6 linked regions of the Cricetulus griseus genome follow. The protein of the gene in region 1 interacts with the protein of each later gene in a pairwise test. Links are inferred from orthologs where the notes say so. Each region holds a gene or a part of one and is shown in the gene's direction. Other genes may lie near its edges. The genes, in order: Mkrn3, Polr1c, Fam110a, Psma1, Enkd1 and Tchp.

Region 1 (3,982 bases):
TTGATAATATTCTTACTTGTTTAGTATTGTTTTGTTGGCTTTGTTTAGATGCGACTTACACTTTGACTTGGATGACTATATCGTAGACATTAAGAGTTTCTTTAAATTTAGGCTATAAGATTCCCTCTAATAAAATTGTTTTGGGAAGCAAAATCCTATTTTTAGATAAGGAAGGAGAGTAAATTAAATATTTGAACATTGCGAATTCAAATAATCACGTACGTAGGGGAAGGGAAAAAAGCGTGATTATTAATTAAAAGCCAGCATAAACTACATTTAAAAAGTCATTGTGTGACCATGGGGAAGTACACTTAGCGTTTTAGAAATACATATAAGAATTATTAGCCCAATAGAATAGATGCGTAACATTAGGAAAAAAAAAAAAAAACCCACCCAAACTAATAACTCAGTGTGGCAATGGAAATGAGACATGTTAGGCTGGTATTTTGAAAGCCTAGTGCAGGATGCAAAGTAAGGCGGCAAACAAAGGGTCTGCCTGAATCCAGCCAGCGGAGAAAAGTGAAAACCTGTGTCCCCCTCGGAGTTTTATTAAGCCATCATCAATGCTGGCAGAAGCCCAGGCTTCTACTTTGCTGGGCGGATTACAGTAACAAAGGCAGGGGTCTGAAAGGCGCTAAATAGCTCCAGTCACACAAAGGGTCCCCTTGGGATTCAAGCGCACTGAATTAACCCTTCAGGGGCACACAGCCCCGGAGAAGTGCTGCCGTCTCTACACCCGCCGGAGCACAAAAGCCGCGGCAGAGACACTCCCGGATTTTAAAACTCAGCCGCCCATAGACAAAAGACGATTAGACAGGGAAATGATTTGTAACGTGTGCGAGTGAAACGCCATAAAAACCTCCAAGAGCAGTCGCGGCACAGGCGGCGACAATGGCGTTTCCTCACACAAAGAGAAAATAATGAAATGCGGTGTGTGCAACCGAATCCTGCGGGGGGGGGGGGGCGGTGTGGAAACCCGGGCTAGGGGCTCCCGAATCCCGCTGGGAGCGGCCGACCGCGGACCGCGGGTCCCTAAGCCGATAGCGGCGGGAGAAAAACATGGCTGAAGTAACTTCCGCTTTCACACCGGCAATTGGTGTCCCCACCGGAAGTGTCCGTCTGCCGCTCTGCGGGTAGGAACCAAAGTTCACAGGGGGCGGGTTTCTGGTGGGAAGACAAAAATTGGTGCACTTCCCTCCGAGAATCAGCCGATCGGTCCAGCTCCAGCTCCGCCGATTCAAGCACAAAAAAGATATAATATTAGACAGTTTTTGGACACTGTCAGGGGCGCATAACAATGGAAGAGTCTACAGCTCCCTCTGGTGCAGCCCCAGGTGCCGAGGAAGGTGCTGTGGGGGGGGCGGGTGTGTCCGCCCCCCCCCCTCCCGAGTTGGAGGCTTCTGGAGCTTCCGAGGTACTCATTTCGGCCTCTCCGCCAGAGGCATCGGGCCAGGCACAGCGCCTTGTGGCTCCTAGGCCGGAGAACCGACGCTCGGCGAGCTTGGGGCCCGTTCCGCCCGCAGGGGGCGGAGCCAGGTCTGGTTCCGACCACCACAGCGGCAGCTGGACAAAGCAGATCCTCTGCAGGTATTATCTGCATGGGCAGTGCAAGGAGGGCGATCACTGTCGCTACTCTCACGACCTCTCTGGGCGGCGGAGAGCTAGGGGGGGGCAAGATTCTCAGCCTCGGGCCTCTGCAGATAGAGGGCCCAAGATGGCCACTCACAGGGAGCCCCCGACTCAGGAAGAGGCGGAAGCCCCCCCTACTGCATCCTCCAGCTCTTTGCCTCTGATTGGCTCGGCTGCTGAAAGGGGCTTCCCCGAAGCTGAGATTGACAATGCAGGCATTGGCTCAGCTGGTGAAAGGGGCTTCTCTGCAGCAGAGATTGACAATGCAGGCCTAGCCGCAGCTGCTGCGGGAGGAGCGGGTGCTGAAGGCTGGGAGGGGGCAATTGAGTTTGTTCCTGGACAGCCCTACCGAGGTCGCATGATCCCCCCGCATGGTCCCGAGGCTCCCCTGGCGAGCCCGGAAGTTGAGAGAGAGCACATGGCTATGGGCATGGGGGCGCCGCTGCCGCTTTGCCGCTATGCTGCCCGGGGAGAGTGCCTCCGCGGGGCGAGTTGTGCATACCCCCATGGAGAAATATGCGACATGTGTGGGCAGCAGGCCTTGCACCCTTGGGATGCGGCCCAGCAGGAAGCTCATAGAAGGGCCTGCGTTGAAGCCCATGAGAGAGATATGGAGCTCTCCTTTGCTGTGCAGCGCAGCATGGACAAAGTGTGTGGCATCTGCATGGAGGTTGTCTATGAGAAAGCCGACCCCAGCGACCGCCGCTTTGGCATCCTTTTCAGCTGCAACCACACCTACTGTCTTAAGTGTATCCGCAGGTGGAGAAGTGCCACACAGTTTGAGAACAGGATCAGTAAGTCCTGCCCACAGTGCAGGGTCTCCTCTGGCTTTGTCATTCCTAGTGAGTTCTGGGTGGAGGAGGAAGAGGAGAAGGAGAAACTTGTGCAGCAATATAAGGAGGGGATGAGCCAGAAAGCCTGCAGGTATTTTGCTGGAGGCCTAGGTCACTGCCCATTTGGAGAGTACTGTTTTTACAAGCATGAATACCCTGAGGGCTGGAGAGATCAGCCTCCGAGGCCAGGTGGTGGCGGATCGTCAAACGCATACTGGCATCAAGTTTTGGAGCCTGTGCAGTTGCGAGAGGGAAAAGTGCTGTTCAAAAGCCGTAAGAAGGAGCTTGCTGTGCTTCGCCTGGGCAATCAGTTGCTTAAGAAGTTGCTTTGCCTGAGAGGCAGTTTTTCCTTCTCTGATGACCGGTGGCTCTTGCTTCAGTTCCAGCTGGAAGAGTATTTCAATTTGAATCTGTAGTATCATGCTATCGCATGTGGTCTAGTCTGCTAAGGCTCTGTTGTCTGCTGTTGCTTACTTCCCTCTATTGACTGACAACCCTATTGCTTTCAAAGGCTGTTGTGGCAATCTTTATGCAGTACTGCTGTTTTCGCTTCTATTTCCCATTTCTTCTCACTAGGATTGTGATGTTTCTCTGTGTTACAAGATAAGAAGAAATCTTAAAAGTATTGTTTGGTGGAATTAATATTTCTGTCAGCTGATGACTTGTGGTGTCTTTTTCCAACAGGATTCAATCACTTCTAGTCTAGTGTTTACAGTTTCTCATTGTGAAGTCCCTTAAGAGTAAATGTGACAAGGTGACAAAAGTCTTTAAATTATGAGCTTTTTGCTATATAGCCTTAAAAATGCAACCTTACAGGGCCTTGCAGCTGCTGTCTGTGTTTGTTTACATGTCTGTTTCTTCCCTTCTCTTTCAAGTGCAATTGTTAACTTGTGGTTACTTTGTGGTTCTGTTTTACTTGACCAAAATAAGGTGCATATGTTTACATGTTTTTATCCTGTTTGGCTTGATGTGAAATTATTTATATTTGGAAATATATATTTAAGAATGATATATATGCGTATATGTATATGTATACAAAGATGTATTTGAAAGAAATTGGAAACAAATAAACCCCATAATATATATGTTTGAAGTAACGAAATAAATGCAGAACTGAAAGCTTAATGTTAAATTCTAAGTGTATGGATTGTGTGTGAATTCTGTGGACAATTTCTCTGCCCCTGCACTGATGTCAGTGATTAGCATCTAATAAAAATGACTGCTTTGTGTATTGGACTCTTTTTAAAAGACTTTTAAATCATGAATCTCATAATTCCTGTGATAGCATTCACAATTTCTCTGTTGTAATCATAAAATGGATGTGCCTCTGATTGTAGCCACTGTCTCATTTTTCTTATCTGGTTCTTTTTATACTTTAGACGCAAAATACTTTTGACAAAGGTTTTCATGATAAAAAATTATAAGACCATCAGAGAAGATGGTAATAAATATTGAAATTAGTCAGAATATAAGAATGAAATAAAAATGAGGCATGGGAATTTTAAAATGTTAACCATAAT
Region 2 (4,976 bases), on another chromosome or scaffold:
CTCTCAGGGCTCAAGTGTCCCTTCTGTGTATTCCACAGTTGTAGTAGAGTGCTATGTTGTGACTGCATTCAATAGCAGGGCTCCCACCTATCTTCACTAATGAATCAGATATCACAGAATAAAAAGTCAGTGTATAGTGGCCCTGGGTTTTGTATCAGCACTGGTTACAGGAAGAAAAGAACCAAAGCCAGACCGAGTCCAGTTCCTGAGAAGGCAGTTAATGAGTATGCTGATACTCAGGTGGCCAGAGAGAAAAGAGTTTATAAAATACAAAAAAAAAAAAAAAAAGGAAAAGAAAAGAAAGAAAGAAAGAAAGGATAAAGACAGCAGAGTCTGCTTTTGAGAAGCTCTTGGTCTCGGGAGAGACCGACCAGGAATAAAAATCTATGTAGCCACATGGTAGAAGCCAGCAGAGTTGTCTAGGAGTCCCAGCTGGGGAGGAATGAGGACACAGCAAGTGCTGTCCGAGCGCGGTGTCTGGTAAGATGGGCAGCATGCACACACTTTCACCACCAGAGCTCAGGGCTCAGTATCTGACTGCAGTCTGGATGAGGGACTAGATGTGAGGACAGACTCTTCTGAGAAGACTCCTCACCTGCTTCGGACCTGAGCAGGCTCCACATCAAAGTAGGGTCTCAGGATGTCGATGTTGGCATACAAGCTGAAGGCTCTGGAAGCTTGTCTCTTCCCTGCCTGCCACATCTGAAGGGAGATGGGTATTATGAAACTGGTGGCTCTAGACTGTTAACGTTACACAGCCTTTGCCAGATTTCTGTGTGGTTCTCCCTGGAAAACCTACGTCACCTTGGGACACACATGGGTCCACTTTCCCATCTGCTTACCTGATCAGCCACCTGTCGGCTCAGCTGTCCCTTAAAGCCTTTCATGCCCAGAAACTCGCCATCCTCCTCTTCTGCAGCAGCTGCGTCGGCATCCACTTCTTCCTCACGCAGGCGCTGATGCAGCTCCCCCATGTCCTCGAAGCTGGAGCCTGACGTGTCATCCATGTTCTCCATGTCAATCACGGCCGAGCCCCCGCCCTGTGAAGACAAAGGCTGCTAGAGAGCGGGGCCTTCTGTTGCACCCTTCTGCTCTCTGCTCATCGCACGGTTTGAGGCTTTGCTCTCCCACTGATGAGGACATTGGAATTGCTACCCATCGTGCCAAACTCCTCCTTGTCACTGCTGGCACAACTCTTGTCGCCACACTTTTGTGGTTCAGAAAACACACTACTCATCTTCAATTCACGTTGTTTTCCTACCTTCCCCCTCAAAGCTTCGAAGTGCTGCACCGGGGCCGACCTGCCGCCACCCACCTTCAAGCAAGCCTATGTGCACACAGGCCACCTTTAGGGGCTCCAGGGAATCAATCCTACCCTCTAGCCCTGCACCTGCCTGACCCAGACAGGCCGCCCAGCCACGGAGACCCGAGGCCCGCTGCAGCCTCGGCCTGGCCCTTCCTCCTCAGCACAAGCGCTACAGACCTGGGCGTGGGAGACTCAGCGGCCACCACTTGCAATGGAGCCGACTTCCAGGCCGCGAGAGGGGACGGCGGCCAGCCCGGGGGCTGCCGGCAGCCGGGACACCGCTCCATACCTGGATGTTTTCTTCGAAGCCTCCCCACTCCGGGCCAGCTCCGTTTCGGACGCCGCTGGCCGGCGCCGCGGGAGTCGCCATGTCCCTCGAGGCTTTCCGTCGCTGAAGCTCGCGGGCGTGGGACCAGCGTGAGACCCGGGCCGGAGAGAAGGAGGAAACGTCCAGGAAAGAGAGAGGGCGAGGTAGTATCAGCCGGAATGCAAACAGGAGAAACCCGGATGTTTGGCCCCAATTGACGTCCGGAAGTGAAGGACGTGGACGGGGCGGGGCAGGATATCGCGACATTTATAAGTTCAGGAGGCGGGGCGTTGCCAGGGAGACGGCAACGGGCCCCTAGTACGCCTGCGCGCACCGGAGGCGTCTCGAGGCGGGTGGTGGACGATGGCGGCGGCCCAGGCCGTGGAGGAGATGCGGACGCGCGTGGTTCTGGGAGAGTTCGGGGTTCGCAACGTGAGCTCGGAGCGGAACTCGGGAGGGTCGGGGGCGGGATGGGGGAGGAGGAGGGGAGGGGACCTGGCTTGCGGCTTGTCCTCACCGCCCCGCTGAACACATCTGTTGGCTCTAGGTCCACACCACCGACTTCCCCGGTAACTACTCGGGTTACGACGACGCCTGGGACCAGGACCGCTTCGAGAAGGTGGGTGCGCGGGAGGTGTCCCGGCGGCCCGGGGACCAGACGGCTCACGCTCGCCGCGTTCCAAAAACGTGTGCTGAGCCATCCATGTGCTGGGTGCTGGGTGGCCAGGCCGCCCGGGTGGGGTGAAGGCCCACGTGATCAAGGGATCCCGGTGAAACACAAGAGCGGCGAGCACGGCCGGGGTGCGGGAGAGGAATCCCGTAGGTGACTTAATCCGGTCCGTCGGAGAGACGGAGACTCGGGTCAGTGAAGGAAGACTGGCCAACAGTTAGGCCGTGCAGGCCTAATTGGAGCATTGTTGCAAACGCTTGTTTGCGCAGAGCCTGCTCCAGCAGTTCATTATCGCCAGATGTCAATACATTGGCCCGAGTGGTAGACAAGACCGGGGTCTATCTTTTTCTCTTTGAAAATTTATTTGTATTTTATGTACATTGGTGTTTTGTCCGAATCTATGTGAGGGTGTCGGATCCTGTTGTCAGTTACAGTGTTGAGTGCTGGAAATTTAAACTCGCGTCCCTGATTGGGGTGTTATCTTAAGCTCTGCAAGTTAATAGAGAGCTCTGTTGTTTTTTTTTTTTCGAGACAGGGTTTCTCTGGGTATCCCTGGCTGTCATGAAACTAGCCTTTCTGCCTCCTGAGCGCTGAGATTAATAGCATGAGCTACCTCGCCTGGCTTAAAGAGAATTTTTCAGTAGACTGATCTAATTTTGTAACCTTCATAGCTGGGAGGGAATGAATAAATTCCACTGGTAGTGGAAATGGAGCAAAAGGAGAACTAACAGCTATGTACCATATAGCTTTGGTGAGGGGTGTGTGTGTGTGTGTGTGAAAAAGGGCCTTGTGATGTGGGGAATTTAAGGAGTTTTTTTTTTGGGGGGGGGGTTATGTGTTTACCTGCATGTATATTTGTGCATTTGTGTGACTGGTGACCCAGGGAGGTCTAGTTAGGTCCCCAGAACTGGAGTTATGCATGGTTATGAACCACAGTGTGGGTGCTGGGAACCAAACCCAGTTCTTTTTCTTTTTTCTTTTTTTTTCTTCTGTTTTTCGAGACAGGGTTTCTCTGTGGCTTTGGAGGCTGTCCTGGAAGTAGCTCTTGTAGACCAGGCTGGTCTCGAACTCACAGAGATCCTCCTGCCTCTGCCTCCCGAGTGCTGGGATTAAAGGCGTGCGCCACCCAACGCCCGGCCAAACCCAGTTCTTCTGTAAGAGCAGTCAAATGCTCTTAACTGCTGAGCCATCTCGTCAGCTCCATTAGGGAAGTGTCTTGATGGCTGATTGTGTCAGTTGATAAACAGGAGAAAAAGAGTGATAATATGTTCAAATTCCTGTATGTGAAGTCTGTAGGTCAAGTGAATGATGCCTGAAGTGAGATCAAAATGAACCCAAGTTTGGGGAGTTGCTGAGTAGTTGCTTAAGCCAGGAGTGTGATTGAGGTCAGCCAAGAGATTTGAACCTGGGAGAAAGTAACATTTACAGGGTGAGAGGAAGAATTTAGAATATCAGATAAGAGAACTAAATTGGTGTTCAAAAGTCAAGGGAGTAGAATTTGAAAAAAGAGGGATTGAAAAATAAAAACAAATGCAGGACTAACTTGTCTAAGCAGTGTGGGACGTTCTGCTCTTCAGTGTAGCAGCTTCTGTGGGTTGTTTTTGTGGAGCCATATTGCCTAGGGTCTTTTTTGGGGAGAGGGCGGGGGTTGAGACAGGATGTAGCTTTGGAGCCTATCCTGGCACTCCATCTGTAGACAAGGCTGGCCTGGAACTCACAGAGATCTGCCTGTGTCCCCCTCCCCCCCACGCGCGCGCGCCCAGTGCTGGGATTAAAGGTGTGCACCACCAATGCCCGGCTTTGCTTAGGGTCTTAGTGATGTACACCTTTGATCCTAGTCCATAGAAGATAGGTAAGTATTCCTGTGAGTTCGAGGCCATTGTGGTTTACATAGATAGTTCCAGAAATGCTAGGGCAAGGTAGGGAGACCCCCCCTTATTTTTTAATTTAAAAAAGAAAGAAAACCAGCCAGGCTTCTTACAAAACTCAAGAACAGGGCTGAAGACAAAAGTCTAGTGATCATCTGGTCACAGGAAGGCTTTAGGATGAGAGAGGGTGGACATACATGGAGGGACATTGCCAGGGTGGGAGTAATCACAGAGGGAGGCTTGAATTACACAAGAGAAACAGGTGTTCCATCAGTTTTTTCTCTATCCCTCTAGAATTTCCGTGTGGATGTTGTTCATATGGATGAAAATACACTGGAGTTCGACATGGTGGGAATTGATGCTGCCATTGCTAATGCTTTCCGGAGAATTCTGTTAGCTGAGGTAAAAGAAGACGTGTGGGTCTCTTATTTCCAGGTAGGGAGATCAGTTGGTGTTGCAGTTGGATGATTCTGCTTTTTTGAACAGGTGCCAACAATGGCAGTGGAAAAGGTTCTGGTTTATAATAACACATCCATTGTCCAGGATGAGATCCTTGCTCACCGCCTGGGGCTCATCCCCATTCTTGCTGATCCACGTCTGTTTGAATATAGGAACCCAGGTGAGATTGAGAAGATGACTGTCCTCAAGTGGGTTGTGGGCTCAGATCCCAGGCTCACCACTGTGAGACCTTGGTCGAGGCAGTCAACATTTTGTACATTGGTTTTCACCTGGGAGAACACTTGCCCTTACATTAATTTTGTCTATATGTAAAAGCTTGCAGCATAGTGCCAGCACTCAGATATATATTTTAATTCTTTAAAAAAC
Region 3 (4,977 bases), on another chromosome or scaffold:
ACTGGTCGAAGGGCAGAGAATAGGTGTCTGTGGAGTGTTCAGCCACAAACGTGAAATCTGTATCAAGAGGGAGCAGAAAGACTGTCAGAACCAGAGGTCGGAAAGAACTCTTCTGGACACTCCAGGACTGCCACACCTGTGGTCACGGCAGCTGGGTTGCCTGTACAAGATCAAGCCCTTAATATTTCAACACAGAGCAGGAAGGGGCTTATGAGCCCCCACTCCTAGCTGAGGAGCTTTTCACATTTGATGGCTTCTGGGGAAGGAAAGTCAGTTGCTTTGTAAAGGGTGCAGCCCTTGGTGGTTTGATCACAGCCCAGTGTATAGCTCTACACCCATGAATAGTTGGGCAGCAGATTGGACTTGGTGGGTTATAAAAAACAAAAGGAAAGGAAGGAGAGAATGAGGATGGATGTAGGAGGAGTTGGGGGGGAAAGTGGAGCAAATATGATCAAAATACATTGTATGTATGTATGTATGTATGTATGTATGACATTCTCAAAGAGTGAATGGAAGCATATTTAAATGCAAAAGAGTTAGCTGCTGTTTTGTAAATAGGAGATGCTTTTTGTATGAATAATATGGTTATGTATTTACTACCTATTCATGCTGTAAGGAGTGCTTTGAAACATGCTTAAAACATAACACTATGGGGCTGCAGAGATGGCTTAGTGTTTGAGAGCACTGGCTGCTCTTCCAGAGGACCTAGGTTCAGTTCCTAGCACCCACATGGCAGCTCATAACTGTCTGTAACTCTAGTTCCAGGGGATCCAACAGTTATATAGACATACATGCAGGCAAAACATCAATGCATATAAAATTAAAAATAAATAAAATTTAAAAATCCGGCAACACTTCCTAGCATTCCTCCATTATTTTAAAATGCTATTTAATTGCATCATTTTAAGTTACTGCATAATATTCCTAACCAGAAAAATGTAGATAGTTGAAGGTAGGTATTGATAAGATTTATGTAGAAAGATCAATTTAGCTTCTTCCCAGGATGGATATTATATACTGTAATTGGCCTGATTTTTTTTTTTTTTTCTGTTTTGGTTTTTTCGAGACAGGGTTTCTCTGTGGCTTTGGAGGTTGTTCTGGAACTAGCTCTTGTAGACCAGGCTGGTCTTGAACTCACAGAGATCCTCCTGCCTCTGCCTCCCGAGTGTTGGGATTAAAGGCGTGCGCCACCAACGCCCGGCTATTGGCCTGATTTTGATAAGCATTGTGGGAATTACTGGTGTGCACGTTTGAAAACTAACTGAATTACCATTGCAGTAGGGTAATGGAGAGGGAGAGGGGATCCTGGAAAACACAGAGAGGAAGCTGCAGAGTTGGGAGCAGGACCTAGGTTGGCTGCTGGGCAAGTAATACCAACTCGTCGGTACGCTGAGGCAGGCAGATAACAAGTTTGAGGGCTACTTGGACCACAGCGTGAATTTAAGGTCAGCTTGGGCAACTTAGTGAGACCCTGTCTCAAAAGAAAAAAGTGAAGAGAGGCCAGTATGTGCTAGCTATATGTCAAGGCCCTTCCTAAAAAAGAAAAAAAAAAAAATGGGACTAGGGCCGGTGCAAAACCAAACAAATCTGGGACTAGCAACTCCTGCAGGTGGGGACCGAGGGAATCCCAGCTGGACGAGAAGAAGAAGAAAGGGAACGCATTGGCCGGCAGGGCCGGGGCAGCCGGAAGGCCGCGCGGCCAGCTGGGCTCCTGGCGGCCACCGTGGGCCAGCCCCGCTCCCATCTGCTGCTCCTGAGGTTGCCTGGCAACTCGGGTGGCGCGCCGTTCGAACGGAAGCGAAGGGCCAATCAGGAAGTCCGGGGCGAACCATTGCAGCGACGGGGACCGCTCGCTCACTTCCCTTTCCTCCGGGCTCTGGGGACCTTCGTCCGGCAGGACGGTAGGACAGCCAAGGCCTGCCTCTCGGAAGAGCCCGCCTGTCTCAACACGCGACGGCCGCCTCAGAGCTCTGGGACCAAGCGCTCCAGCTGTCAGCCTCGGCAGCTCGCGAGAAGCGCGGGGGACCCTCCAGACACAGGCGGCAGGTGAGCATGGGGGTAAGGGGGCTCACAGGGTCTGGGGTAGGTCCACGCACCATTCGAGGCGAGTGTGCCAGCACAGAGGGCTGACCGAGGGTCCACGTCTATCTAGTGTCCAGCCCAGGGGGCCAGCGGAGGATCCGGCTGTTCCCCTGTCCCACCCTGCAGCCTCCACTCCAGGCAGATTTTCTTTGAGAGGTTCAGAGGGCCCCTGCTGGTCACTCTCAGGGGCTTGTTGAATGTGGCTTATGGGATCTCAGGGCTAGGCTACCTCTACCCCAACTGTCTTTGGAGTTTCCCTTCAGGACATATGGCCTTCCGTTCCTCAGGGACTCTGGCAACTTTTCTGCCTGAATGGTCCGGAATCCCAGTGCTGCCCTCTCAGAGGGCCTCCCTGGGGGGCAGGCTAGATTCCGGAGGACAGAAAATCCAAATGCCCTGGAAGTCATGTGGGCCTCTTGGGAGTCTGTTCCTGTGTGTGGTGTGTAGTGTGTGTGTGTGTGTGTGTGTGTGTGTGTGTGTGTGTGTGTGTGTGTGTACTTTGGTGTGTGTGTACTTTGTGTGTTGGAGGCGGGTGGATCAGCCTCTAAGCCAGAGTTGCTAGTCACTGGACTTTAGAGTTGGGTGCTGGGTAGGCCCTCCCAAATGGAGCATATAATTTAGGCTGCCTATGTTCCCCGCTCAGGTTGCTGTCTGTTGTTGATCTCTTTTCATAGATGGGGAAACTGAGGTTCTGAGAAGTTGAGCCCATTGCTCAAAGTCACAGTCTTACCTATTCAGAGAAGAACTGGATTTGATGGAGGGCCTCTTTTGTGGGGAACTGCTCATCCTCCACTCCTCATTCTGGCTCTGGGGGTAGTCTGTGTTTGCCTGTCTGTCCATGTGTCATCTCCTCCTACCCTGAGGGTCTTGTGTGGCCCAAGTTGGCTTCAGTCTTACTATGTATACTAGGCTGGTCTTGAACGTCCCCCTGAATCTGTCTTCTCTGATGACAAGCATGGGTCCCCACTACACCAGTTTTTTTGTCATTTTTAGGATGAAACCCAGGGCTTGGTGCGTGCTAAGCAAGCACTCTACCAACTGTGTTACACCCACTGAACATATACCTCCTGAGCCTACACCCCCTGCCTCATTTGTTCTTTCTACATTGTTTGGCTTCCTGTGGCCGCCTTGTTTTTCTCAGTAGTGTCTGTTCCACATTGTACACTAGGTGTCTTACTAGGCAGTTTATTGTCTTCTCCACTTGAATGTGTCAGACAGGTAAGATGCTTAGCACAGTCACAAAATGTCAGGGTGCCCGAAACTTCCAGAACCAAGATGATCAAAGCCAACGTCTGTTGGCCATTTGCTATGTTTTGTGCCAGGGGTGGAGCAGGGTAGGGTGATGTCAGCTCTGGCAGACTCTGGCAAGCACAGGCATGGATGTTACACACACACACACACACACACACACACACACACACACACACACACGCATTCTGCACCCTCCCACCCCATCCAGCTACCTCATTTTTAGGCAAAATGACAGGTGCTACATTGCGGCCATGGCTTGTTGCAAGCGGGAACTGGACAGATGCATAGTGGCCAGTAGGGGCTGATGAGAAATAACCGGAAACTCCTTAAGTACTGATGTGGCACCAAGAGGAACGTGGGTTACCCAGCAAAGGCGCTGAGTGAAAATGACACACACGACACACTTTGTAGTTTCGACCGTGGGACAGCTAATTCAGAAGCCACTAAGTAGACATGGTGATTACATCTCCAGAAAGCTATGAGGTCACTGCTCTGCCTGTGATTTGTCACTGGCTGTGTGACTTTGGGCAAGTTTCTTCACATTCTGAGCTGGGGATAAACACTGCATGTGAGCTCAGGCCTAGACAGGGTACTGTAGGACAGGAAATGGGCGTGGCCACAGGTCTAACTCAAGCCTTACCTTCCCAGCCTTTCCCTTCCTTCTCCCTCTTCCACTGTAAATCTGCCTTTGCTCCCATTTTGTCAGGGTGCAAACTGAGTCCCCAAAGTTTGAATTAGAGGAGGAGCATATATTGGGGGCGGGGGTCCGTAAAGACGCTCACTGTCCTAGGCATCCACACCCACTCATAACCCTCTCCCTGAGGTTCGTGCAAAGCCACTCTGAGCAAGGCTGCCTCATAGGCAGGCTGGGGCATGATCCTGGGGAAAACTCCAGAAATAGCTTGGAACCTGGCCTGCCCTGGAGAATGCCCAGTCGGGTGTCTCTGACCTGGACAGCTGGGCTGGCTCTACCCCACTGCCTGGAGCCTTCTTGATCCTCCTCAGCAGCAACTAAAGGCCTCCCTGTCTACCAAGCCTGAGCCAGGTTTCCTTTGAAAGGACAGAGGAGCAGGTGGGGTGGTGCAAAATGTCGTAAAAATGGTCAACCCTAGAAACCCACCTTCTTCGGGGAAGAAAGGAAGCAAAGGGAAGAGTGAACACACAGCTGCTTGGGCTCAGACCACTTGCAATGTACTCCGTATTTTACCATTCTGAGTTGCGATGTACCTCCACCCTATGAAGTGAGGGGCTTACTGCTTTTATTCCATGAACACATATTCCACATAACAGGCATGTGGAAGTCAGAGGACACACAGGAGTAGTTCTTATCTCCCAATGTGGGTTCGGTGGATTGAACCCAGATCTCCAGGCTTGTATGGCAAGCACTTTTACCCCAAGCCTATCTGATCCCATCTAACCACTTTGAAGTTTGCAGAAACTCCATACCCAATAAACAGTCACTTCCCACTCTCAAACTCACCCTGGCAAACACTACTCAACCTTGTTCCCAGTGTTTTGACTCTATATACATAGAAGCATGCCTTGCTGTATCCAGCTTATTGCACTTTGCCCGATGTCTTCCAAGTTTCATTCATGTTGTAAAGTATGTTAGTCTCCTCTCCCCTTTAAAGGCTGAATAATCTG
Region 4 (5,080 bases), about 49 Mb from region 1:
GGTGATTGTAAGCTGGACCATGAGGGTGATAGGAATTGAACCCAAGTCTTCTGCAAGGTAAATGCTGAGCCATCTCTCCAGTTGCGAAACTATTTTTAAATGAGTATTTAACTTACCCATTCATTCAAAATCCATTATTCATTCAACAATACAAATTAAGCACTTTTAATATGTGTGAGGTTTTGGGCTGCTTTGGGGCAAACAAAACAACTTTATCAATTTAAAGTTAGAAGTACTTTTTTAAAATAACAAGAGCCTGAGCTGGAGAGATGGCTAATGGTTAAGAGCACTGGCTGCTCTTCCAGAGGACCCAGCACCCACATGGCAGCTCACAGTCATCAATAACTGCAGTTCCAGGGAATCTAACACCCTCACACAGACATACATGCAGGTAAAACATCAATGCACATAAAATTTTTAAAAATTCTAAAAAAATAACAAGAGACAGTGTTGGTAAATTTAGAGAACAAAGCAATCTCATAAACTGTTGAGTGCATATAAATGGGGGAGGGACTGAGAAGGAAAGAAAAAAGACAAGAAAAATAAAAAGGGGAAAAAAACCAACAATAAAACAGGGACCAGCACAATGGCTCAAAGGATTAGGGCACTTGCTGCCAAACCATGAACCTGAGTTCAATCTCCAGAATCCACATGGTGCAAGGAGAGAACCAACTCCTTCAAGTTATCTTCTGACTTTCACATAAGTGTATGCAGGGCCAGAAACATACACATAAAATATATAAATAAATAAATGTGAGAACAAATACATATACATGAAAATATTTAGAAGGTGATACTAATTGCTCTGAACGTGAACATTTAAGTGACGTGTTGCTCCGCCTTCAAAGTTCAGATCTTTAAGGATCCTTAGCCGACTCTGGGCACTTATCCTTTCTTCAAAGAATTAGCAGTCTGTAGATATGTTAGGTAGGCAGCAAGCGCAGAGCTGTCTCGATTTCATTTGAGGACAAATCAAAAGATGCTCTTTAAAAATTCGTAAGAAAACCCACAGCTTCCCCCTAGTGGCCTAATCTACCAGGCATAGCATTTAGTTGTGGACAGCCTATATTCAATATCAGAACAGAACCCTGGTGAAGTTCAAAGTCCCAGAAGAGCTAGTAATGTTCATGAAATGGGCGACATGACCATGGAACCATGAAGGATGGGCTGGCTGTCCAAGTACTCAAGATATTCCAGGCCAGAAACAGGAACACACACCCCACACACATACACGCACACACACCACATACATACACACCACACACACACACACACACACACACACACACACACACACACACACACTACGGTTACACACACACACACTACAGTTTTGTGGCTTTTTCTACAGCCTTTTTCACACACGCACACACACACACACACACACACACACACACACACACACACACACACACTACGGTTCTGTGGCTTTTTCTACAGCCTTTTTCAGACACACACACGCACACACTACGGTTCTGTGGCTTTTTCTACAGCCTTTTTCAGACACACACACGCACACACTACGGTTCTGTGGCTTTTTCTACAGCCTTTTTCAGACAGGCAAGTCCCCAAACCTCTATGGACTGTGACCGACATGATATGCGGCACGGCCGCATCATCCCGAGTTGGGTTGCGTTCAGCCTGGTGGATCCAGAGTCGGCGGGAATCTGCAATCCACCGGGGGAAATAAAGCAAAGAAAGTCAGTGCATTGGCGAGCAGCCACGCCCGACTGTCTCTGCGCACAAGCAGGCGAGCCCCGGGCTTTCCCGCCAATCCCAGTTCCTTAGCCTTACCAGACCCCGCCCACCCAGAGCCCAGCTGGAGGGCGGGGGAGCGCTAAACGCCGATCCGTGGCTCTGGGATAGACTGTGCTCCCTGCGCTGCCGCCGTCAAAACTCGGCAGGCCTCCCTGACGATCACCGAACCGTAGTTGGGTCCGTGTTCCTGGGTCGGCTACTGTGTCTGATTGTCGCCACGCCGGAGCCATGGTGTGTTGAGCCCTGGGTCCTCGGAGGGTTTGGGGCTGAGGTCCGCTGACTCGGTCGGGGATCGGCCTCTGTTTCCTGCGGCGCGGGGCGGTGGGAGAGGGAGCTTGGCTCACGGATGGGCTCCGGCAGTGATTCAGCATCTGCGGCCTGGCCGACGAGGAGCGGCCGGTAGCCGGGGAGGCCTCTGGGGTCGCTTCTCCACTATACACGGGGTCCAGACGCTTCTTCCTCGGCCAGCTAGCCACGCTTACCCCCTAGCTTCCCCCACTTAACTTCCGTGGCCGATTCCCGGCGACCCTGTGGTCCCTCGTGACTGCATAGGAGTGAGAGGGTGGAGAATGCACTTGGCCTCCCGGCACCGCCAGCGCGGACCTGAGCCGACAGTGAGGCCCTTAGACAGTGCCCATCTTCCTTATGGGTCCTTTTGGCTTTATCCGACTCCTTAGAATGCTTAGATTTGTCACCAGTTACAGATGAGAGGGGAAGTGATGGAATCAGGTTCACAAGGTAAGAGCCCCGGGCTGCTTCTGTCGAGCCTGCCATAGGAACTCTGATCCTCTCACCCTCAGGAATGTTCTCCCAAGCGCGCACACACACTTGCTTTAGTAGTGGCATTATAACAGTAGTGGTTCTGCCACTGTAGCTGTTTGTGCCCACTTCTTTACCTAGGATTTGTGTGTATGTTAATTCATTCAGTGGCAAGGTGCAAGAAGAGAACACAAAGTTAAACCAGACATAACTTTAATCATAATGTAAAGATAGAAGGTGTGGTGGTACACGAATTTAATCTCAGCACTCAGGAGGTAGAAGCAGGCAGATATCTGTGAGTTTGAGGCTGGCCTGACCTACATAGTGAGTTCCAGGACAGCCAGAGTATAGAGACCTTCGTCAAAAAAAAAAAAAAAAAAGTGTAGAGTAGATCATGATAGCACACAGCTGAATTTCAGCACTTGCAAGGTTGAGACAGGGCTTCAAGGTCATCTTCCCAGGTACATATCTTCCCAGGTACGTGGCAGATGAAGGCCAAACTGGGCTGCAAGAGAAAAAGAATGAAACCTTAAAGAGATAGACATTTGAGTCAATTTAAAGGCCTTTGGCAAATTATTAGAGCCTTGTATAAGAGAACAGTGTAAGCAAAGAGGAAGAAAAGTTGATATGTACATATTTTAGCCCCTGACTGCCCAAGGAGAGTGCTGTGGAGAGTGGCAGACTAGGAAATTAGGAAGACCCTAGACCATTCATCCCAACAGCTCATGGTTAAGGTAGACTTGACTTGCAAACTGTAGTAATGTCTCAGGAAAGTTGCAGGAGCAAAAACGTATGTAAGCACATGTCTTAATGTTAAAATTTGAGGTTTATAATGTCTCATAGTAATCTGTCTTTGTTTCACTTTCAGTTTCGAAACCAGTATGACAATGATGTCACTGTTTGGAGTCCTCAGGTAAGATTTTTTTTTTTTTTTTCCTGCTGTGTCTATGAAGTGGCTTTTCTTGGCTTCAGTAGGTTCAGAAACTTGTGAGATTGTAAACTGTGCTTGATGGTGCATATCTTAATCCTTACTGGTCAGGATACTGAGGCCAGAGATCATGGAGTTGGAGGCCAGTTTGAGCAGCTTAAAAGACCTTATCTTTAAAAAACAATGAAATAAAACTTGTGAAATTATAGGCTGTGAGCTTAAAGTTAGTTAGCTGCTCAATGGGGGAACACACCTTTAATCCCAGCATTCAGGAGGCAGACAGGTGGATCTCTGTGACCTCAAGGCCAGCTTGGTCTATAGAACGAGTTCCAGGATAAGCAGGGGATTGCACAGAGAAACCCTGTCTGAAAAGGCAAAACAAAACAAAAAATAGTTTATTTGTTTTAAAACTGAACTTCAATTATGCTCATCTAAGATCTGAAAACTTAAATTTTTAGTTAAAAGGATCTAAGGACTGACTATAAGAAGTGCTTTTCTTTTTGTCTTCAGGGCAGGATTCATCAAATTGAATATGCAATGGAAGCTGTTAAACAAGGTTCAGCCACAGTTGGCCTAAAGTCAAAAACACATGCAGTGTTGGTTGCATTGAAGGTAAGTGGAATGATATACTGTCTTCCTCCTTTAGGAAACAACTATCAAATGTAAATTTCACTGATAAACAAAGCTGTAAACTATCGTACTATGTCTCTATTTAGAGGGCACAGTCGGAACTTGCAGCTCACCAGAAGAAAATTCTCCATGTTGACAACCATATTGGTATCTCAATTGCGGGTCTGACTGCTGATGCTAGACTGTTATGGTACGTATGACCATGAAAAATTAAGTATCCCTTTTGATTCATAATGATTTATTTTACTAGAAAATATCCTAGTAACATATTTCAGGAAGTTGTCTCCCAGAATATAATAATTTTTAATTATTTTATTTTATACATATGAGAGTTTTGTCTGCATGTATGATTGTGTACCAGTGTGTGCCCAGTTCCTCAGAAGCCAGAAGAGGACATTAGCTTCCCTGGTATTGTGAGCTGCCATGTGGATACTGGAAATTGTATCTGGGTCCTCTGAATATTGTAATTTGTAATATTTGGGTGTGTTGTTAAGTATTCCCACTCCCTAATTCTTGTAGTGTTATTAAACATCCTAATGCTTTTCAAATGTCCTTGCATGAGGTAGTTGTTGACATGTATATTGTTTCAAGCCCTGTATTCCTAAGAGCTGGACATGCCTTGCCTTAAGGATGACCTGAGCCATTCTAGTTTTCTTTTATAGGTTAATATTTTTTATACATTTGTTTTCACACAGCTTAGTAGTATATGATATGGGTATAGAAAGATGACTCAGATACAGATCTTGTCTTCAGGGAGCTTAAAACCTATTTTATTTATAACACAGGGTGTGAAATAGAGAGTAACAGGCAAATCTCTTATCCGTAAGAGATAGATGTTTCTTCTTCTTTTTTTTTTTTTTTTTTTTTTTTAAGATTTATTTATTTATTATGTATACAGTATTTTGCCTGCATGTATCCCTGCAGGCCAGAAGAGGGCACCAGGGATGTTTGTGAGCTACCATGTGATTGCTGGGAATTGAACTCAGAACCTCTGGAATAGCAGCC
Region 5 (5,098 bases), about 47 Mb from region 1:
CTCATCCTCAGACTAGACAACCCCCCAGGCTGCTCTCCAACCTCCTGTCCTAGAGGAGGAAGAGTGTGCGTGAGTGGTGCTAGTGTATTTGGGCAGGGCATAGCAAGGCCTAAGCCCAGCTCACCTGTCACTGGCAGCAAGGCCTGCAACTGCAGCTGTTCCACACCCGCCTCCTCAGGAGCCAGGGCCAACTCCGACTCAGGCTCCACCTCTGGCTCTCTGTCCCCGTCCCCTGCCTGATTCAGCTCAGGGTTGCAATAGTTGATATATTGGTACAGTGGCCGCAGGCGCTGGGCTTTTCCTGCAAGAACCGGAGGCAGGGCAAAGGCTGGAGCATCAGGTGGTGCCATGTCAGACCCAGAAGACAAAAAAAGGTACCCCCAGAGATTGCCACTCACGCTCCAGCCCCAACGTCTCCGTAGGTGTGGATGTGCCAGCTAAAGCTGGGGGCACAGGAGCCCCTACACTCTTGCGTTTCTTGGCTTTTTTGTGCTGTTTAGCAGACAGTGAGGACTCACTGTGACTGCCCTCTGGCTCCTCCTTCTGCAGCAGCAGCCCTGGTGGCAGCTCAGCTTCAGCCCTAGGATGGGCATGGTAGCTTGGCCCTGGGAGGGCTGGGGTGCCCAAGCCTGGAACAAGAGGCCTGAAAGAGGTGCACTTCAGTCTTTGGCTCCTGTGTCTTGAGCCTAGGGCCTAGCCCAGCCTGCCCACCAACCCCAGGACTAGTCAGCTGCCCTTTCCTGGTCAATGAAGCTCCAAGCCCAATAGAGACCTGCTACTCATGGTAACACTGTCTCTTATAAGACCTGAAAGCCCCAAATCTTTTTTTTTTTTTTTCTTCCTCTTAGACTCCTTTTCTAGAGAAACAGAAGTTTCTAGTTGGGAGTTGGGGCAGTTGCAGAAGACAAAGATATCTGCCTAGAAGGAATCAGGATTTAGGAAGCTCGGGGTGTAAGATCCCCACCCCCTTCAGCCCTGCAACTCCTTCCCTCTGAAAACCCCCTCACTTGATAGGCTTTCTCTTGGGTCCATGACTGGGCCTCACGATGGATGATGTAGGCTTGGGTCCTCTCTCCTCTCCTGCTTCCACCCCTGGATTGAGCCCTTCCTCTCCCCGGTTTATTCCTTCCTCCTGGAGCTCTGGCTCGAAGCTGTGTCCTACTGAATACTTGTCTTCACTTGGGGTTCTGCAGGTCTCATGTGCGGGCACCAGACACTTTTCTCCTGGTCCTGGTCCTGGACACTGGAAGATACGCAGAGTAGCCAATGGCCAGGCAAAGTATTGTAGGGACCAGTCATTCAAAGTCCAGTATTGGCCACAAAATATGACATGAAGGCTACCAGCTCAGGCCCCTCTACTTGCAGGACTCGACCAGGCAGTTAGGGGGTTGGGTCACCTACAGTCCCCCTCTCCTGCCCTACCGCTTCTACCTCCCTAGCTTCGAAAATGCCTGAGTCACCTCAGTGATCTCTGCAAGCTGGGCTAATCCTACTGTCGCCCCATTCTGGGCATCTGGCTGCCTCTGGGCCCCTGCTGAGGCCATGGCTGTGCGGAATCAGTGCATCCCTTGACGGTTGCTAGGAGAAGACGGCGGGTTCAGAGGAGGTTGGACTGGTGTACTCAGTCTTGGTAGGGTAGACCCGCTGGGAGGTGAGACCTGCGACTTAAAAATAGTTCCTAACCTGGAACTACAAACCCCAGAAGGCTTTTCGCCGAAGTTATTGACCCCTGACCTCAGGAAGTCATTTGTTGCCAAGCAACAGCAACTCCTACTAGCTTGCAACAGTTGGCGGTAAAACTGCTCCAGTGAGAGCCCCCTCTGGGGTGTTGCGGGGGAGGGGTCGCGAACACCTCAGGGCAGTCGGCCAGGATCCCGGTAGCAGGATGGTGGCGCAGACTGAGCCTAGGGACTGGGCGAGAGACGAGGGTGGGGGTCGGGAATGGGGGCTACTGCGGGGCTGCAGGGCTCGGGTGGCGGATGGAAGCACCCAACAGGGATTGGGGGCCGAAGTTGCGCAGCGCAGCAGGCTTCGTTGCACGGTTGCAGGGCTGCGATAGGATCATGTGCGAAGGCCCATCCAGCATCTCTGGACCCATTCCCCCAGACCCTACGCTCTGCCCGGACTACTACCGGCGGCCGGCCTCGGGTGAGTTGCGGGGTCCCACGGCGTGGCGAGTAGCTCGCGCCGCCACTGAGCACGGCTTTCCACCGCGTCTTGCTCTTCAGCCCAAGGGCGCCTGGAAGGAAACGCACTGAAGCTGGACCTGCTGACTTCAGGTCGCGACATGGACTTCAGCCCTTCTCGTGGCCCCCGCATCAGGCCTGGAGCCCGAGAGATACTAGAGCGTGGCCAGCGAGGCGTGGGAGACGTGCTGCTGCAACTGGAGGGCATATCCCTTGGTTCAGGGGTATCTCCTAAGAGTAAGTCCTTGCCAGAAGTGGTATCGAGGCATTCGGCGGTCAAAAGCAGAAATTAAAACAGGATGCTTCTTAATTGCCTTGAGCCCAGGTAATTAATGTACTTTTGTGGGTCTTAGTTTCCCTAGCACAAAAAGAGGCCGAAATGCACTACTTCCTAACAGGATCAGAGTTCCGTTCTTATGTAGGTAATCCTAGCTTCAAGCATTCACACCTCGATGGAACGTTGTTTACTTAGCCTGCTTTTGTGCCAAGCCCTATAGGTGTTGGGAAAACAGACTTTAAAAGTATGAGTGGAACAGTTGGAGGCAATAAACAAGACAGGACAAGGTAATGGTATCACTATCAAAATGTAGAAGATACCAGAAGGAACACTGTGGAAGGAGAGATTAAGATGATAATAGTGCTGTGTGTATGGAGTCTAGCTTACATAAAGAGGTCTTGGTTGTATTTAAATGTTGTGTGTGTGATGTTGGATATTGAAACCCAGGGCCTCTTGTATTCTAGGCATCTACCAGATTGTCTGGGAGAAATTTCTGCAAAGGATACAGTGTGAGCCTGTGTGGTCTAAGTCCCATGGCCATTTGTAGAGTTGTCCCTAGCAACAGTTTTTCCCCAGGGAAGGATCCAAAAGACCATGAGAAGGAAAACCTGAAGCGGATCAGAGAGATTCAGAGGCGCTTCCAAGATCAAGAACGAAGCCGGGAGCAGGGCCAGCCTAAGCCCCTGAAGGCACTGTGGCGCTCACCCAAGTATGACAATGTCGAGTCCCGAGTCAAGGCCAGGATGAAGGTATCTGTTCCTCGTAGCCAGACATATTGTCCCTATTGGCCAACAGACAACTATACCCTGATCTAACTTAAAGGGTATGTGTAGGGGGATCATAAAGGCTAAGACATCTGGGGTGGACCTTCTCTGAGCTGCTGATGACATCAGGACAAGTAAGAATTAGGTTAGGTGGACACATGGGGAAGGGCCTAGGCCTGGCCCAGGATGATGTGGTAGACTTTGGGGAGCCCCTTTTGAAGGCCTTACCCTGCCTGGGGAGTGGAGGGGGGATGGCTAGGGGCAGGTGGGATGTTGGGGGGAGGAGAGGGAGAGGGAGAAGGGATTGACATCTGAAGCAAGCTTGTTCCTAATTTGAACTAATAAAAAAAAAAAAAAAAAAATTAGGCTAGGGGAAGAGATGAGACCATAGAGATGAAACCTCACAGGTAGAAAGAAGTCCTGGGGTCAAGGCAATGGGGATAATAGTTATAATTCAATATGTAGACAATTAGAGCTGAAAGCTATCTTGACACATATCTGAAAGAAGTACCTAAGCTACTTGTCAACATCATTTATTTGTAGTGTTGCAGATTGAATGCAGGGTCTCTTGCACCTTAGGCATACAGTGTACCACTCACTAAGTTATGCGCCCAGCCTTCCTACTAATTCATTCTCAGTTTCTCTGTCTCTGTCTAGCCCAGGCTGTCCTCAAACTCTGTGTACATGACTAGAGTTGACTCCTAACTCTCCTTTTCCACCTACCAAGTACTGAAATTAAAGATGTATAGTACCAGCCGGGCGTTGGTGGCTCATGCCTTTAATCCCAGCACTTGGGAGGCAGAGGCAGGCGAATCTCTGTGAGTTTGAGGCCAGCCTGGTCTCCAGAGCAAGTGCCGGGATAGGCTCCAAAGCTACACAGAGAAACCCTGCCTTGAAAAAACAAACAAAACAAAACAAAACAAAAGATGTATATTACCATACCACTTTCTCTCTTTTTCTCTTAGTTAATTGATTTTTGAAAAAAAAAAATTATGGGGCTGGAGAGATGGCTCAGGGGTTAAGATTGCTGGCTGCTCTTGCAGAAAACTTGGGTTCAATTCCCACCATCATATCAGCTCACAACTATCTATGAGGGTTCCAGGGGATCTGGCACCCTCACACCAATGCACATAAAATAAAATTAAATGAATTAGTTTAATTTTTTTTTTTTATGTGTATGGGTATTTTGCCTGCAAGTCTATGTGTCACAGGGGCCAGAAGGTGGCATCAGATCTCCTGCAACTTTTGTTCTAGACTACTGTGAACTGTCATGTGATACTGGATACTAGTCCCCTGGAAGAGCATCCAGTGCTCTTAACTGCTGAGCCATCTCTCCAGCTCCCCCAACCCTACTACTTTCTTTTGAAACAGGGTCTCAATATGTAGCTTGGTCTAGCCCCAAAGTCATCATGTAGGAACAGGCTGGCCTCGAACTCACTAAGATCTGCCACCAATGCCCAGCTAGCCTTGAACTTTTAATATTCCTCCTGCCTTAACCTCTCAAATGTCGAGGTTATAGGTTTGGACCACCACTTCCAGCTCACTCCTTTCTGAGGCTGTAGCTTGCTGCTTAGCCTCAGGCTGTCCTTGAATTCTCTGTATAACCTAGACTGGCCTCAAATTTTTGCCCCTTCTACTGAAGCCTCCTGAGTCCTGGGACTATAAACATGTACCACCATTCCTTGAAACGTTTCTGAGGACAGAGAGGAAGATTAGTTACCATTTCTCTATTCAGGAACCCAGAAAGACACAGAGGACTGAGAGAAAAGACAAGGTCACATGAGATTGTATTTAGACTGAAGCATGTGTGGGACTGCCAGGGGGTAGGACTGTGTCCAGGAAGCAGATGGATACATAGCTCTAGATCTCAT
Region 6 (4,911 bases), on another chromosome or scaffold:
CCCGCGTTGCTTGGGCCAATGATAGGCGAGTCTTCCCAAAGTCTGTAATCCACAGGTCACATGCTATCAGCAAGAAGGCAGACGTCCTACAGCCCACTACTATGGGTGGAGGACCTTGGGGGTTGCTGTCTATGCAGCATCTGGCAAGTCTCTGTTATACTTTAATCATTGATTCAGGTAAAATCTTATCCTTCTCAAGAACTCTGATGCTTTTGACGACTGGCAGTCTTGCCAGCTTAAAGCAAAACAGATTCCAGGAACAGGTATTTTAGGGTTTATCTATGTGAAGATAGAAAAGTGTAAAAGAATGAAATATGTTCCTGATTTCTCTATTTCTCATGCTACTGTTCATAGTAAAGTTCAACAATACCACTATAGGAACATAACTACAAGGTCAAGATTAAGATGCTTTTCATGGTCCCCCCAAAAAAATCTGTCTATTTTTAAATGGTAATACTTTCAGCCAAGTTGCTTCTAACATGAATATGCTTCTAACATGTCTAATACTTATGTTTCCACAAACTCTAAGGATTCTTGTAAGTTCCAGGGAGCCGAATCAGATCCAAACAGGTCAGATTCACTTCATGTAATATTCAACCTTTCCCCGGTCCCAAATTCCCTTCATTCATCTTGGGACTCCTCAGGAACCCCTCCCTCATCTTACAATCTTCCCCTCAAGTGACAGGATCTAAGAAAAAATTTTTTTCTAAACTTAACCTTGTCCTCTGCTCTGTCAACATCTTGCCAGGTCTAAGAGGCATCAGGGAGTTCCATACAGCCTGGACTTCAATGAAACAACCAGCTTCCCCAGGACGTGGCAGCACCCCAACCTTCTCGGGTCCCCCAAAGATGGTCAACGCCCCCCACATCAGCAGGAAGCAGTCTTGAGAATTCGACGCCCTTATTCCTTAACCTGCCATGTCTAACACCCCACCTTTTTAAAATAATAAGTAGAGGTGGGAATGAAAGGTTCAGGCATTATGCTGGCCTGCTCCTGTTACCTGGTGGAACAGGCAGTACCCTGGTCAGCCCAAGATTCCATGGGAACTAAGTCTGCACGCAGATACAGAGGACCCCTTTAAAAGGACAGGTCCCTGCCCATTTATGCTCTCTGTTTCCTCTCTGTTTCCCCACTCTGCTTTGTCTCTGCTTTCTCTCTACTCTGTCTCCCACCTATGCTCTCTCTCTGTCTCTCTATGGTGACCGACCATGGCAGTCAGCCATTACCCTGTTCCTCTTCTCTTAGTCTCCCTACTCTGCCGGGCCTTATAATAAACTTATAGTCTTATGTCTCATGTCTCAGCATTCTGGGTGCTGGGTGCTGGGGATTGTGAGTTCAGAGCTTTGCACTTGCTAAGCACACACAATCGCGGAGTTCCCCAGCCCTGCTTTTTTAAAAATGGAATAGTTAATGCATAAATACGTGCAATCATGTGAGTTACAGTTATTAAAACCTCTGTACCCACCAGTAATCCAAGACATCAGTAGGAATTTACCAAAGACTTGTAATTACCCAGACCAGCTGTTACTGGCCTCTGCTGCCTACCGGGCAACACCCAGGGAGCACTGAAAATCATTTCTTTTTCCCTCGGGGCGTCTCCCTGGATGATTTTGATGTGCCCTATTTGAGAAACATGGGCTTAATTCTCCTCTCTCCTATTCCCTTGGTTTTCACCCCCACCCCGGGGACCGCCACCCTGACTCTGGGTCATGACTCACTCTGGCACCTAGCGACACTTGCTGTCGATTTTCCTCCTACCGCGAGGGGGCGCCAGAACAACAACTTCCCTTCTTTTTCCTGGTGAGCGGCTGCGTCGTGCAGGAGGTACTTTGGCCTTCGCGGCCTCCGTCGTCCCGCGGGCTGCCGGGCAACCGAAGGGGAAACGGCTGGCGTCGCTGCCGCTGGCGCCACAGAACTCTCGGATCTGGTGAGCGCGTGCTCGGGCTTAGGCCGGAGCCTCTTCTTGGAGAACTTGGGGTGCAGGGAAACACAAGTCAGAGGCTAGGCTGGGCCGAGACGTCCGCTGTCTTCGCTGGTCGGAGGTCTCCGGACACCGGATGGGGTGCATGTCCGGTGCTCGCACACACTGATAACTAAGTCATCGCCTTTAGTTACTTTTGTTGCTCTGGGGACAGGGCTTCCTGTTTTGCCCAGATTGGCTTTGAACTCCTGGACTCAAGTGATCTCGTCCTGCTTCGGCCTCCAAAGTCCTTGGGGCTGCTGGGGCCTGCCGCGGAGCCCTGCTTGCCCCTGTCATTTTATGCCTTTCCCGGCCTTGTCAGGAAGATGTCTGTGTCGGTAACGTCCCTGATAATGGCTGGCTCGCTGCCGGGCACAGTCCAGGTTCATTTAATTTGATAATTTGCAGCCTCAGTGGCACATCATTTAAAACGTGCGGGCCTGGGCCTCGTTGTAAAGTTTTGGGTGGCAATGTGGATCCTAAAGCTGTTATAAAGGTGCAGCCAAAGGGCGAGCGCCCTCGTAAAAGACAGGAGACCATCCAAGTAAGTTCCTGAGTTTGCAGCTGGCTTCGATTCTGCCCGCTGATGTCCCCTTCAGATGGCGCTCCCCACGCTGCCCTCTTATTGGCTCACCCGGAGACCCCTGGACAAGAAGGTAGCACGCCAACGCCAGCAAGAGCAGGAGGCCCAGCTTCGCCAGCAGTGGGAGCAGAACAGCCGTTATTTCAAGACTACGGACATCCACAGCTCCAAACTGGCCGAATGGAGTTCCAAGACCTCCTACCAAAGGAGGCAAGTATCAATGTCCTGCCTGCTGATTCCTACCATTAGCTGCTGGGGGCATGTGGCCTCAGGGCCTAAGTACTGTGGCTTGTGACAGCATGAGTAATCTATATGGTGATGCTATTCTAGCTGGAAATGGGGTGGTGTGTGTGTGTGTGTGTGTGTGTGTGTGTGTGTGTGTGTGTGTGTGTGTGTAGAATAACCAGTGAAATAACATGCATTTTGAAAGATAAAATCTATCAGTCATCTTTTCTGTAGGTGTTTGTGTTTAAATACCCGCCCCCCAACATATATAGAAATGCATATGAAACTGTGGCCTGGGTGTGGCTGATTCTCAGTGGGCTCCTTACCTAGCATGAACGCCTACCATCGTGAGAAGATGAAGGAGGAGAAGAGGATGAGTCTGGAAGCCCGCCGTGAGAGACTCAGGCAGCTTGTGCTGGAGGAGCAGGACCTGCTGGCCGCTGAGCTGGAAGAGCTGAGGTTGAATGTGAACCTGCAGGAACGAAAAATCAGGGAACAGCACAAGGATCTGAAGTCAGCCCGAGAAGAACGAAGGAAACTGGTAACCAGCCTAGACCCAAACAAGGTTGCAGAGTGGGAGTGTCTGAAGGCTGAACTGACCGTTGCATCTGTGGGGTTATTCTTGGGTGCCTTGGTCAGATGAGTTGGCCAGATGATTCTAAGAGTCCATGGGGAAAGCACTTTATTTATTTAGGGAGAAAAAGTCTATTTTAGCTCTTGGCTTTAGATGGTCTCAAGCCATTAGAAGTAGGGTTTGGTTTATAACATTCAATGACATGCCGGGGGGGGGGGGCTGCTTCCTCGAGCTAATTCCTCACCACTAAAGGCACCCAGGCTCCTCTGAATAGTGCCACCAGCTGGGGAGCAATTATTTTTGCTGTTGGTTTTTTGTTGCTGTTTTGAACGTGTCTCACCATGTAGTCCTGGTTTGCCTGGAACTTTCTTTGTAGACCAGCCTGACCTCAAAGTCACAGAGACCTGGCTGCCTCTGACTTCCTCATGCTGGGATGAAAGGTGAATAACGTGCCTGGCTGAGGGCAAGCATTTAAAATGTGAGCCTGTGATCAGAACCAGATATGGTAGAATGTTAAGGATTTGCCGGAGGTGGGGAGGACAGCTATGTTTTTTTCTGAGACAGGGTTTCTCTGTGAAGCTGTGGTGATGTATCATTTATGTTTAATAAAGATTGCCTGAAGTATCAGAAAGCAAAGCCAGACCACTATTTAGCTGTAGAAGCCAAGCAGTGGTGGTACACACCTTTGATCCCAGGACTCAGGAGATAGGCAAGTTGATCTCTCTGAGTTCAAGGCCACCCTGGCCTACATAAGAGTGAAGAGTAACAGAGCTCTCATGCCTTAGATCCCAGCACTTGAGATCACATGTCTTTAATCCCAGCCCTAGAGAGGTTTATAAAAGACAGGAGCCCAGTGTCTCAGGCTGAATTCTGAGGTTTATTCTCCAGCCACGCTGAGGAGAGGCAGCAGTCTGAGGCTTGGTGAAGAGTTCCTGGAGACAGGACAGCCCTTTCAACCTGAGGTAGAGCTAAGAGCTAATGACTGGCTTTGCTTTCTCTACCTACGACACTTTTTATTAAATCATAAATAATGTATCACCACCACATGTAGCCCTGGCTGTCCTGGAACCCGCTGTGTAGACCAGGCTGGCCTCAAACTCAAAGATCCACCTGCCTCTGCCTCCCAAATGCTGGGATTAAAGGTGTGTGATGGCTAACATCTGGTTTTCTTTCTGTAAGAATGGAGTTAATACTGGCCACAGAACAGGGTGAATGAGTTTGCCAGCAAGAGTGAGGGCCGACAAAAAGCCAGGGCCCACTCTTAAGTGTCTTTACAGGGAGTGTTTGATATGTGGTAGCTCCCTTCTCTGCCTTACAAATCACTACAAGTGATTCCTCCTTCCTGTGCTCAGTTCTGTGGTTCCACAAAGGTCTGGGAACACTGTATTTTATCTTCAAGTGGCTATGGTAACTAGCCTCAGTCTGTGTGTTTCAACTTGCTATGGACTTGGAAACTCCTAGAAGGAAGCCAGCCATAGCATCAGATTTTAGCTAGCTCTTGGTCCATTCTGCTCAGATATCCTGTCCCCAGACTTGTGTGTAAGGAAAGCAGACTTGAGTGACAGATG

Evidence for each region.
Region 2: the proteins of Mkrn3 (region 1) and Polr1c interact in binary tests that used the Homo sapiens proteins (3 or more experiments, as listed by UniProt). The two-hybrid records come from large-scale screens. The link is inferred for Cricetulus griseus from reciprocal best matches to the Homo sapiens genes MKRN3 and POLR1C.
Region 3: the proteins of Mkrn3 (region 1) and Fam110a interact in binary tests that used the Homo sapiens proteins (3 or more experiments, as listed by UniProt). The two-hybrid records come from large-scale screens. The link is inferred for Cricetulus griseus from reciprocal best matches to the Homo sapiens genes MKRN3 and FAM110A.
Region 4: the proteins of Mkrn3 (region 1) and Psma1 interact in binary tests that used the Homo sapiens proteins (3 or more experiments, as listed by UniProt). The two-hybrid records come from large-scale screens. The link is inferred for Cricetulus griseus from reciprocal best matches to the Homo sapiens genes MKRN3 and PSMA1.
Region 5: the proteins of Mkrn3 (region 1) and Enkd1 interact in binary tests that used the Homo sapiens proteins (3 or more experiments, as listed by UniProt). The two-hybrid records come from large-scale screens. The link is inferred for Cricetulus griseus from reciprocal best matches to the Homo sapiens genes MKRN3 and ENKD1.
Region 6: the proteins of Mkrn3 (region 1) and Tchp interact in binary tests that used the Homo sapiens proteins (3 or more experiments, as listed by UniProt). The two-hybrid records come from large-scale screens. The link is inferred for Cricetulus griseus from reciprocal best matches to the Homo sapiens genes MKRN3 and TCHP.

Annotation. Positions count from the first base shown.
Region 1 is NC_048596.1:135,056,386-135,060,367, forward strand, and holds Mkrn3 (probable E3 ubiquitin-protein ligase makorin-3), read left to right. Parts: upstream 1-1,182; 5' UTR 1,183-1,297; coding exon 1,298-2,878; 3' UTR 2,879-3,798; downstream 3,799-3,982. UniProt on the Homo sapiens protein: E3 ubiquitin ligase catalyzing the covalent attachment of ubiquitin moieties onto substrate proteins.
Region 2 is NW_023276806.1:255,712,316-255,717,291, reverse strand, and holds the start of Polr1c (DNA-directed RNA polymerases I and III subunit RPAC1), read left to right. Parts: upstream 1-1,884; 5' UTR 1,885-1,976; coding exon 1,977-2,045; intron 2,046-2,160; coding exon 2,161-2,232; intron 2,233-4,445; coding exon 4,446-4,553; intron 4,554-4,637; coding exon 4,638-4,770; intron 4,771-4,976. Other genes in the region: protein YIPF3, read right to left, coding at 596-702, 843-1,040, 1,596-1,676. UniProt on the Homo sapiens protein: DNA-dependent RNA polymerase catalyzes the transcription of DNA into RNA using the four ribonucleoside triphosphates as substrates.
Region 3 is NC_048599.1:28,036,337-28,041,313, forward strand, and holds the start of Fam110a (protein FAM110A), read left to right. Parts: upstream 1-1,832; 5' UTR 1,833-2,046; intron 2,047-4,977.
Region 4 is NC_048596.1:86,388,260-86,393,339, forward strand, and holds the start of Psma1 (proteasome subunit alpha type-1), read left to right. Parts: upstream 1-1,838; 5' UTR 1,839-1,986; coding exon 1,987-1,989; intron 1,990-3,385; coding exon 3,386-3,430; intron 3,431-3,955; coding exon 3,956-4,057; intron 4,058-4,161; coding exon 4,162-4,265; intron 4,266-5,080. UniProt on the Homo sapiens protein: Component of the 20S core proteasome complex involved in the proteolytic degradation of most intracellular proteins. This complex plays numerous essential roles within the cell by associating with different regulatory particles.
Region 5 is NC_048596.1:181,988,095-181,993,192, reverse strand, and holds the start of Enkd1 (enkurin domain-containing protein 1), read left to right. Parts: upstream 1-1,743; 5' UTR 1,744-1,807; intron 1,808-2,048; 5' UTR 2,049-2,063; coding exon 2,064-2,148; intron 2,149-2,228; coding exon 2,229-2,423; intron 2,424-3,039; coding exon 3,040-3,212; intron 3,213-5,098. Other genes in the region: CUNH16orf86 (uncharacterized protein C16orf86 homolog), read right to left, coding at 1-301, 399-643, 1,008-1,243, 1,461-1,544. UniProt on the Homo sapiens protein: Microtubule-binding protein which regulates microtubule organization and stability. Promotes the stability of astral microtubules and facilitates the proper orientation of the mitotic spindle.
Region 6 is NC_048597.1:94,317,421-94,322,331, forward strand, and holds the start of Tchp (trichoplein keratin filament-binding protein), read left to right. Parts: upstream 1-1,783; 5' UTR 1,784-1,928; intron 1,929-2,525; exon of another isoform or gene 2,526-2,560; coding exon 2,561-2,754; intron 2,755-3,099; coding exon 3,100-3,310; intron 3,311-4,911. UniProt on the Homo sapiens protein: Tumor suppressor which has the ability to inhibit cell growth and be pro-apoptotic during cell stress. Inhibits cell growth in bladder and prostate cancer cells by a down-regulation of HSPB1 by inhibiting its phosphorylation.